Caenorhabditis elegans: one gene and its partner. The protein of the gene in region 1 purifies or fractionates together with the protein of each later gene. This does not show direct contact. Each region holds a gene or a part of one and is shown on either strand. Other genes may lie near its edges.

Region 1 (5,941 bases):
TCTCCTTCTAAAGCTTGTTCTTCTACCGTAAGTCTTCCAATCTGAAGTTTCAACCTTTGTGACAAATTTTATTTTCAGGAAACTTACTGGTCGTCTGAGATAAGTCAGCCCAACTCCAGTGAAAAGGAGATAAGAGAAAAGAATTGATGGAGAAGAGAATCCAAGTGATGTTCCAAGACGGAATAGGTACAGGAATACGTCGAGGATTGGCTGAAATTAAATTTTAATTTTAAAAATTTAGGAGTTGGATCTAGTTTGTTATACAACTACGTTTGTGTTTCAGTTATGAAACTGTATAACTGTATTTTTTCCGATTTAATGTGACTATAATTTATTCCAACTGAACATAGAATCGTTAATAGCCTTCCAAGCCGGTACAGAATGTCTGCCTCCCTGCCGGCTTACTTTCCCATTACTCTTGAAAAGAAATCCTCCGTGTAATAATTTTCTTCATACCTTTGAAAGATTTGAGTACAATTCAACAATTCCATCACAGAATCTATCGACGTCTTGAGTCAAAAGTTGATCAGCATTCTGAATTCGAGTATCCAAATTTGACATTTTGTAGAATGTGAATCCTCTGTAATTATTTTCAATTTTCCAGAACAAAAATCAATTTAAACTCTTACTTAAGATATTGTGAATACAAATGAGTGGACAATCTTTCACGGAAACGAAGTTTCAATTCAGCAATTCCGAATTTCAGAATAGCATTTGTCACGGAGATTGCTGGCAGATTCAGAACGTATTTGAATGCTTCAAGAGCGAAAAGAAGCGGGTTACGGTCAATGATTGAACTGAAAACTTTCTTTGAATTCTTGATAATTTATATTTTAATTCAAAGTTCAAAAACCTACGCTTCAATCTTTGTCGATGTAATAATCATGTAAACATCTGCATAAGTACGACAAAGAAGAGAAACTGCAATGAGAATAAGATAAAATGATTCCTTCGAAAAGAAGCCAGGTATCAAAATTTTCAGAATTCTTGCCAGTTTGCCCAGAAAAACTCCATCAACATGAGCTTTTTGCCCTTTTGAGCCATCTTTCTTCGTTTTTGCAACCAAGTGTTTTGTTCCTCTGAAATATTGGGTTTGTTGCAAGCTTTTTACTTTAGAATTTTTTGGCTGATATTTTTTAATTTACATAGATATTTAGTAAAAAAAAACTCGGAAATATTTTTGATTTCTCAAAACTTACAGTTTTGGCAATTTGCCAGGTTTCTTACAAATTTGGACTTTTATATACATTTACGTCGTATTTCAAAAGCTCTAAAATCTTTAAATACAAATGACCCATCTTGAGTAATATTTCAGAAAGGTTCCCACTGAAACCAGTAATTTTTAATGTTGTTAAAAACAAAAATCATGTTAGGGGTGATTTCCAAAAACATAGGATCACTTTTAATAAATAAGTCTATGTTTTTATTTTATCTGGCATTCGGAATTAAGATCGTTTTGAAGCTTATAATCGTTAAAAATGAACTTTCCAATCTGATCAAATTGTAGTTTGATAGAGATTCATATCGATTTAGTTGGATTGATAAGAAATGTATTTACCTGATATCCTGTTTGTATAACTTAATCAATGCAAAAACTGCAAGCATTCCAACCACTCCAGGTGCATATTGTTTTGGAGGAATTGCTTGTCCAAGTAATTGAAGCTTTGAAAAAACTGCCATTTTTGAATACGAGTAGGTGCGCAGGCAACCAAATTGTCTGTGTTCAGTTCATCATCTCATCGTTTTCTTATCACCTCCCATAAGGTCATAACGAGAGATAATGTGAAATTGAGAGATTTAGAAATATAGAATCAGTATGCTATAGTGTAGTCTTAAAGGGACTATATGTAGCCATATTAAGCCTTCTTTTGGCAAAGAAATATCTGATGATCATTTTCAAAAACCCAAAAGTTCCTGGAATCTTTAAAAACTATTTGGAATTTGATTTCAAAATATGTGAGATCTGGTATTTATGTAAAAGCTATTTTACATCGTAAAGTTGAAATTCTTGGGTGTAACGCAAAAAGGTACGCTTTAAGGAGTACTGTAATTTCGTTGATGCGGTGATTTTTTTTCGATCTTGCAGTTTTTCTCGTGTTTTGTTAAAATTATTTCGTTTTTATTGTTATAGTTATTCAAATAAATATAATTTTATCGATAAAAAAATAAAAAATGATGAAACTTCTGCAGAATCGGAAGTTTGAAGTCACAGTAATCTCTAAAGGCGCGTACATAAATATGTGCATTCAACAAAATATTGTCGTTTTGAGACCGGTTACCGTAATTTCGGAGCAAAAATCTCAAATTTTCGCGTCTGGGAAACACTTCGCTTCAGTAAATTTCGGTTGAGAAATAAAAAATAATTAAAAATGTAATGCTTCTAACTCATCGAACTATGGAGTTTTCAGTCTTTTATCGGTTTGTTTTTATTACTTTTTCTTATCATTCCTTTTACATTTTCCATTTGGAAGTTGTTTGTCTCACTCACAGCTCGAACCAATGCCAAAATTCTATGGAATAAAGAGAAACCATTCATACATTTATTGCTATTAAAAATATACAAATGAATTTTCAAAAGGCATAAAAAGAATAACATCAGATTGAAAATACATCCTACAAATTGGGGAGAAGGATTTACAAGAGACCCGAAGCAATAGAGAAATGTTAAATATATTTAGTCGGCGGATGGCATCACCTTCAAGCGGTCGAATGCAGCCTTGTCGAGAGATTCACGCTGACTTGGATGAGAGATTTTGATCAATTCGTAGGCACGTTGACGCATATTCTTGCCCCAAAGTTGAGCAATTCCATATTCGGTAACGACATAGTGAACATGAGCACGGGAAGTAACAACTCCAGCTCCTTCGTTGATTGTTGGAACAATCTTGCTCTGTCCCTTCTTTGAAATTGATGGAAGTGCAATAATTGGCTTTCCGAGACCATCGTTTCCAATTGCTGCTCCACGGATAAAATCAACTTGTCCTCCAAATCCAGACAAGAATCGTTTTCCAACTGAATCGGACACAACTTGTCCGGTCAAATCAATCTCGACGGCAGAGTTGATGGCAGTGACTTTAGGATTTTTGCGAACAACAGCTGGATCATTGACCCAGTTAACATCTCCAAACTCGATCAATGGATTATCGTTGAGGTAGTCGTAGAGCTTGGTCGATCCGTAAACGAATGATACAACGAGTTTTCCTGGATGGATAGCTTTTTTGGCATTGGTAATTGCATTTTTCTCGATCAAATCAAGAACTCCATCTGAGAACATTTCAGTGTGGATTCCAAGATCTTTGTGGTTGCTGAGAGCAGAAAGAGCAGCATCTGGGACAGCTCCGATACCTGAAAATAATATTATTAAAATGTTTAATAATGACCAGTTTTCTAACCCATTTGAAGAGTAGCTCCATTATCAACAAGATTTTCTGCAATGATCTTTCCAATCTTCTTCTCTTGGTCATTTTGTGGACCAATATTACGTTGATGAAGCTCGAATCCGTCAGCCTCATTGACAAGATAGTCAATGTGTGAAACGTGGATCACTCCATCTCCGAATGTGCGTGGCATATTCTTATTGACCATTGCTAAATAGAATGAGGTAATTGTTTGCAAATAAACTTTAGAAATTACCGATAATCAATGGAGAGTTTGTTACTGCAGCACGAGCGGTATCAACTGAAGTTCCCAAAGAGCAGAATCCGAATGCATCTGGTGGTGAGACCTGGATGAGGGAAGCATTGAGCTTGATGGCTCCCTTGCGGAACAAAAGTGGAACTTCGTACAAGAAGCATGAATTGAAGTCAGCGATTCCGTTATTGACGCAGGCTCTCAAATTGTGTCCGGTGAAAAGGGAGTTTGATCTGATTCTATCTGAAATATAATTTAATAATAAGTGTTGTAAATTGATATTTTTAAATAAATTAGGTGTATTAAAAGTAGCTACGTGACAAAAAGAACATTACTTATTTTTTCAATGTTTTAAAATCGATTACAAATCGAAGAACAAGTGGCGTGCTAGTTAACAAAGTTCGTTTATCTTCATTTTCGTGTAAATGCTCACCTCTGACTCCTTCGGCGGTCCATGGTGTAGCTCCTTCCAAGTGCAAGTGATGAAGCTTAATCTTGTTCAAGTTGTTGGCGACAGCATGCTCCGAAAGACTTTGAAGAAGTGGGGTTGGTGTGGCAGCGATTCCGTGAACGAATACATTGTCTCCACTTTTGATATCGCGTGTTGCTTCAGCCAACGATACAACCTTTGGTGACTTTCCAGCGATTGGGAATGCTACTTCTCTTTCATCTCTGAAGATACCAGCTGTTCTTGAGCACGCAGCCGAGGTTCCGAGGGAGCGAGATGTAAGCCGAGAAAGCATTCTGGAAAAATTTAAAATTAATAAGTTAAAATAAAATAAATAAAGACGGAAACAGGAGAAATGATAAAGTGGCATGATCATGGAATAGTCTTATCAATTTAGTGTTCAGAAAAAAGCTGAGCGGACAAAAATTGAAGAAAATGGAGTCGAAAATCAAAAATAGTAGAAAATTGAAAATCACTTAGTTTATGAGTCCTTGCACTTTTCGTACTGGATCAAAATTGGAAAAGGTTTGCAAAAAGATTGCCTGGCAAAATAGTAATCAGGAAAATTTAATTTTGATGTCTGGCGACTAGACGAACAAGCTCTACGTGTGCATTTATCTTAATTGTAATGCAAATTTTAGATTACCATTAAAAAGAATATCTCGATTTTTTCCCAAAATCAACACTTTCGTAACTGTTGACCGCTTTTCGGTATATTTTTGATAAATGAAGTAAATAAACTGTGAGAGGTTTGGCATTTGGAAAAAAATAAATTTTATGAAATAGGAGAAAAACAGAAAAGAACAAACAATTGTCGATAAAACCGCGTCGATAAGTGTTTTGATGATTTTGTTCTTTGCTGTTAAACAATTATTTTTAAAGCAGAAGAAGTAGAAACTGCACACGAATAGTCAATTTCCTGTAGATTTGATTTCTATTGATAGAGAAAATAATGAATCAAAAACCAGTCCCGAATTGGTTTTTTGATTCGAATTAAGTATTGGCGAAAACGAAATAATTCGGTCTAGGTAGTGGCAAACTAGTTACTTAAAAATAGTAATAATCTGGCGCTGAGTTTTAAAAATGAATAAAAGTTTCTGATTTGAAAGCCTACGTGACATCTAAAAGAAGAGCAGGGGAAAATCGGAGAAGGGCAGATTGGGGGTACAACCGATTGCTGCAAAACAACGTGGTCGAGTGCTGAGGGACTGGGTCAGAAGTTTGTGAGAAGGGGAGGAGCGGCCGAAACAGCTCAAAGCATCGAACAGAAAACGCTCAATCGTCAGGCACGTGGTGGTGACTGAGCAGAGAACAGTGCGCTGGGCCTATTGAACGAAGCAAAATGGGAGAATGTTGGGAGAGACGGGCGGTCATGTCGCTGGTCTTGGCGCTGTCGTTCTCTTTTTCTTTCATGTTGAATTTGAATCTCTATTGCTGAAGACGCAGTGACGATGTTAACGCTGTAGGCGGTGTTTTTGTTGAAAACCAAGAGAGAGAGAGAGAGGAGAAAAAGAGCATGATGAGATGAGAAATAGAGAAAGAGCAGTAAATATTCACCGAATTTTTGAACGGTAAAAAACTTGTATATTATTCAATAAAAATACAAATATTGGAATCCTCTTATTGAATGTTAAAATACAAGATGATAATAGAAATACAACGAAATTTGGACATAGATTTTTCTTTCAATAAAATAAATGCTGACTGACTATTCAGGCGCCACACCAGCACAAGTTTAGAGAAAAAAACAAGTGCAAGCACCTTCACGCAATGGCACAGAATATGTAAAATGTCCAACTTGACAAATGTGAGTAAAACCGTATAGGTGTGATCAAAGTACTCGGAAGGAAAAATGAAAAGAGG
Region 2 (5,799 bases), on another chromosome or scaffold:
TTATAATCCCAACCAAAAATGTATTGAAAAAATACCAGCAAATTCTGACCTTTTTTTGGAAATTTCAGTTGATAATTTGGTTAAATTGGAACATTTTTGCTATTTCTGCGAAAAATGGCTTAAAATACAGAATTTCAAAATTTCCAGCCCAAAATGGCCTGAATTAAAAAATTTAGTCAAAAAGTAGCGCAAATTCGGATTTTTTTGGATGTGTTGATAATTTGGTCAAATGTGAAAGTTTTTGAAATTCCAGCTAGAATGTCCGCTTTAAAACTTTTTAAATTTAGCCCTTTTTCTTAAAAGTTTAGCTCATAACAATTTTTGGGAATTTTTGAAAAGTCATTTAAAATTTTTTTTTTGATATTAAATTAAGAAAAAAAAAACTCACAAACCCAAAAACCCAATACTCACACAAAGGTTTGATTATTTTTCTCACCAAAAAATCAATTTCAATAATTTTCAGACCGGCCGCATCAGCCCAGCAGCCCGTCATCAAACTGTTTAGACAGTTCTGTAAAAATGTACAAATTCGATTCGATTTTTCCTGCTGAACAAATCGTAGCTTCATACTTTTCCATCATCTTATCTCTTTTTTATTCATGAGTGTAGCATGTTTCTTCTAAACTCCCCCGTCTGTAAGCCCCTCTACATTTAGAGAAAGTTGTATTTATTTAAATATGTCTAGCTCTTCCAGCATTCGTTTCGTCGTTTTCTTTGTTGATCTGTTATAGTTTTCTTCTTGCTCTGACACACTTTATTTATCCGCTTTTTTTCTTTTCTCTGTCAAACTTTTGTAATATATTTCTTGGGATCCTTCTCACTTCCTCCTCTCTATCTCCACAGCTGGTTTTGTTTCGATCACTGAAAAAGTACAAACGATTCCTTCTGAACTTTTCCAATCATCTACCCATTTTCTTCTATTTTATCCTCGAAGTTCACCAGCCTTGTTCCCATTTTCTAAATTTCGGTGTTTACACTTTTTCCCTTTTTTTTCATTTTTCTTCATCTAATCTTTGTATCCTCAGTTTCGTGTTGGACTTATATTAATCCATAGGTAAAAATGCGAGAAAATCATGTGCTCTCATTATTGCCCTCCCTTTTTTAAGATTCTGACAAATAAATAGAAAATAGTTCTCGTAAAGTTTATGGCACATATGATAAATTTACACTAGGCTTAAATTCGAAATAGTACATTTTTACAGCTTGCTCTTCTTTTCTTTTCCAGTTCTTCCACGGATCAAATTCTCCGTTTCCTCCCATTTCTCGTTGTCCCATTCGTGAAGGAATTGTCCCATATGGGATCCATGATGAATGTGCTGTTGGCCACCGTCGAAATCGATAATCTGAAAGTTAAAAAAATAGAAATTGTTTTTTCTTAGGCAAATAGTATTGAGTAGTGTGCCTTTAATCTTACTGTATTTGTTTTGAGGGGAACTTTCGAATTCTTAGTGGTAGTTTACAATATAAGTAAGTTTTCTTTTTAATTGAATATAAGAAAAACTAGAATAAATGAGAACATTTAAAAATTCTACAGTAACTTAAAGTTAAAGGCACATACTTAAATTTTTCTTTAGACGCATTTCGCGCGGCAGGACCCATTCTCCTAAATGCGCCTCCCTTGAAAGTAGTAGAAATGCAGTAAAATAATCAAAAGTTAAAAAACGTACCGCTCCATTCATCCAGGACATGAAATCAGACGACATGAACGCTGCCAAATTGGCAATTTCTTCCGGATGCCCAAGTCTTCCAACTGGTACTGATGCTTTCATAGCATCTCCAGAATCCTTCAACTCCCCGGCAAATAATCTTCCGAATGCTCCCTCTGTTGGAATTGGTCCAGGAGCAATCGCATTGAATCGCAATCCGTGTTTCGCCCATTCAGACGCCAATGATTTTGTCATATTTTCGACACCAGCCTTCGAAACCGCTGATGGAACCACAAATGGTGCACCAGATTGTGCATAAAGTGTTGTGATGCTGAGCACACTGGCTCCACGCTTTTGTTGAATACAGCGACGGCCGAGCTCGGTGGTGACGTGGAGAGTTCCTTTCAGAACGATATCAATGATGGTACCGTAGGCATTCGGTGAGAGACGTTCGGTTGCCATGATGAAGTTTCCGGCTGCATTATTGATAAGGATGTCCGGAGTGTGGCCGAGTCTTAAATTATAAAATTAATAGAAAAAATATTGTTAGAAATCAAATATCTACAGTTCAAAGTTGGAACAAGATATTAGGTTTTAATCACTATATTCGTAAGCACTAGAGTACAGCTTGAATCTAGTTATCATTATGTTCCTACGTTAACCTATCGTACTCCCAGAGAAAAATAGATAAGTGATCTCCGAAATTATTCTATGTTTTCGGAATCACGTGCGAGCCATTGCAACTCACTTCTTTTCAACCGCATCAAACGCCTTTGCAACCTTTGCTGGATCCTTCACGTCCATTTGGAATGGCTCACAAACACCACCGGTGCTTGATCGGATCTCATCTGCAGTTTTCTCAAGTACATCAAGTCTTCTTGCAGCAATGGCCACACTTGCTCCAAGATGAGCAAATGTTGTTGCAATAGCCTTTCCAAGTCCAGTTCCTCCACCAGTGACCAGTGCAACTTTTCCCTGAATAAACAATCGTTTAAAAATTTCAATATCTTTAATAACTTACATTCAAGCTGCCAGGCGGCAATGCAACCGATTTGACAACAGGGAAAAACTTTTCTGGATGCAAACAATGAGCCATTATTTCAAACTAACAAATGGTCAAGAGTGATCGAAGAATAAGACCTGGAATCAATAAATAGGTAAAGAGATGGAGAGACGCAGAAGTGGTGGTAGGCTAGAATGTAGTGGGGGTTACAAAGCACAATGTGGGCAACATGATCAAGAGAACATTGGAAAACACAATGTAGGGCAGGAAATAATTTTAAAGCATGGTTTGATCAATGCATTTTGATATTAAATGAACTTTTCCGTGAAATATAAAATTCAGCGGGTTTCGATGTTCTTATAGTCAGTTTTTGAAATATTATAGCACAGTTATAACAAGTGTTATTTATATTTATACATGCTCCAATTATTCTGAAATTAAAAAATTCCCAAAAATTCAGACAAAACAATAAAGGTTGGATCAATTTTATCAAAAGTATAAAGTTTAACTAAGTTTTCATTGAATATTTGTGTTGAATATATATGTCTTGTCATGTTGCGCCTATGAAAAAAAAAACAATATTTTCCGGCAAACAGCAAAATTGGCAATTGCCAAAATTGAAAATTTTTGGCAAGTGGCAATGTCGACAAAATGCCGTTTTTTAAATTGGAAATGCCGTTTTTTTTGTGATTTTGTAATTTTTTGCCTTAAAAATGCTCGACAAACAGGAAATTCAGGTATTTGCAGAAAGCAAATGCCGCTCGCCTTTTCTCTGGGTATTTTTTACAGCCCGTGCCATCTTATTCGGTATGTTTCAATCCGTTTGTGGTCTCTGAGTTCTTAGTTTCCATAAATATTCCCCACAATGACATCTCATATGCAAATTACACCACCCACAAACAATCAATTGACACAAATCCATGTCATTTTCCAATGAAAACGACCAATACGAACTCATGAATCTCTTTTCAATATCGTTTAGTATTTTCTGTCTATTTCTAGTTTCAAATGCACAATATGATGCCGCCTTGAGAGTGCTGCCATTTCTTTCCAATCCTCTTCATCTAACATCAAGTTTGAATCGGCAATGTTTTGAAGAGACAAAATTATTCATTGATTCTCTGAAAGAAATTGCAAAGGTTACAGCGGATTGTCTGAAGTTTCGAAATTGTACACTGATTGAACTAACTTCAGTTCAAGATAATGTGTTTGCTCTTCAACGTGAGTGTTCACTAGAAATCTGTATCTGTTTATATATCTTCTTCATATTTCAGAGCTTGATGCATTTGGAAAGCTACCACCAGATATTCTTGACATCAATACATTTTTCGAAGGATCTTATGCTGAATGCCAGAAAGTCAGCGGAAAAAAGTACACGACAAGCTACAGTTATATTGTTACTTACATCGGAGACAATGTTACATGTGATCCTAAAACCCATGAGCACGTAACTCCTCGATTCGCAGTTTGCATGCCTTCATCTTGCAGTGAAAGTGATCTTGTTGAGATTTTCAATCAAATTATTTCATTTCCATTGACCACTTGCCAAGCATTTAAATCTGGTATTAAAGTTGAAAAGAAATGGGCATTTTGGGCATTTTCGTAAGTTTTTTGAAAAATCTGTATGAATTAATAAGTTCATAATTCAGGGTGTTCATGGCACTCATAGTTTCTTTAGTTGTTTCTGCAACGTTTGTAGATTATTTTCGAGAAAAGGAAATAGGAATGTCTGCGGTGAACGAGCATGCATATGGTACATATTATGAGTTGGAAAACTGATAATTTAAATTTTCAGTCCTTCGATCCTTTCTCTCATTTTCTCTTTGGAGCAACGCAGAACTTATTTTGTCAGTAAAAGAGCACAAACCTCATCATATTCGGTCTTTAGACTGTATCCGTGCTCTAACAATTCTCTGGATTGTCTTCGCTCACACCTATAATTTTAAATTTCCTTACAACAACGTTGGCAGCTCTACGGACTTTATTGAGAATCTGTCAATTTCAAGACAGTTGGTTTTGAACTCTTATTTCTCAATAGACACATTATTTGTTCTGTCCGGAATCACAGAGGCTTACATATTCTTTTGGAATAAACCAAAATACGGGACTATTTTGAAACCTTGGACATGGATTTATTACTATGCTCATAGGTACTTGCGGTCAGCGCCTGCTTTGATGACGTTTATCGGATTTTTTACAATTTATGAAAAATTCATTCAAGGTCCATTTATGGCTTCTGAAATGAGTAAGAAAATTTTCCTAAATTTTCCGTGCAGCTTTAAACTTTATTATATCTTGAACTTCAGATGTTCTCACCAAAGAAGCTGAAATTTGTGAGTCCAATTGGTGGAAAAACGCATTGTACATCAATAATTTTGCCGGCGATGAAAGTGTTGGTTTTATATTCTAAATTTCTAATTATTGAAACATTTCTGATTACTTTCAGTGCTACCGTATCACTTGGCTTCTGGCAGTTGACACTCAACTTTTCTTAATTTCTCCAATTATTCTCATCACATTATTTTTTACTATAACAGGCGGAGTGATTCTTATATTTGGTGGATGCGTTCTCAGTGTCTTCGTTGAGTATTTCTTATTTGGAATATTCGAATTACCGGCTGATTTTATTGGAAATGGGTCTGTCACTCCCCCAGTATCAATCTATCAACTCGGAGAAAATTTCAGCCATCACGAGCTCTTCCGATCAGTAGTCTATGAAATGCCATGGACAAGAGTTCCGTCTTTTTTCATTGGAATTTTTGTTGGTTACTTTCTGGCAACGTTCACAAAAACTCGATTGAAGTTTCATTGGAGTGTTACAATTTTTGGATGGGTTGTGGCTTCAGGAATAGCTGTTTGGTGTCTCTGGGGTAATTACTCATATGATTCTGGAAATCATTGGAGGTTAGTGAGACGATTTTCTAGAAAAACGTTGGAATCTTCTGATCATGATTTTTTTTAATATTATGGAATTTTGAAAAAAGTTCAACAATCTTCAAGAAGGTTTTGGGAACTTTTGAAAATGTCAAAAAGTTTTTAGAACATTTCTAAAGATTAATTGTGAAGTTTTTGAAAAAGTTCGAGGAAGTTTGGTAAATTTTTAGAACATTGCGATGTTTTCTGGGAGTTTTTGACAATTTTTGCGCAGTT

The links. The genes of interacting proteins can lie anywhere in the genome.
Region 2: the proteins of acer-1 (region 1) and decr-1.1 fractionate together in Caenorhabditis elegans (co-fractionation; one large-scale study listed by BioGRID). This does not show direct contact.

The regions. Positions count from the first base shown.
Region 1 is NC_003280.10:6,886,027-6,891,967, forward strand, and holds acer-1 (Acetyl-CoA hydrolase), read right to left. Parts: upstream 4,375-5,941; 5' UTR 4,374-4,374; coding exon 4,064-4,373; intron 3,874-4,063; coding exon 3,634-3,873; intron 3,588-3,633; coding exon 3,393-3,587; intron 3,346-3,392; coding exon 2,675-3,345; 3' UTR 2,527-2,674; downstream 1-2,526. Other genes in the region: pmp-2 (Peroxisomal Membrane Protein related), read right to left, coding at 1-41, 88-210, 457-580, 630-797, 858-1,079, 1,559-1,680.
Region 2 is NC_003283.11:13,779,432-13,785,230, reverse strand, and holds decr-1.1 (putative oxidoreductase F53C11.3), read right to left. Parts: upstream 2,833-5,799; 5' UTR 2,743-2,832; coding exon 2,668-2,742; intron 2,622-2,667; coding exon 2,395-2,621; intron 2,161-2,394; coding exon 1,668-2,160; intron 1,344-1,667; coding exon 1,197-1,343; 3' UTR 1,122-1,196; downstream 1-1,121. Other genes in the region: F53C11.4 (SH2 domain-containing protein), read left to right, coding at 464-505.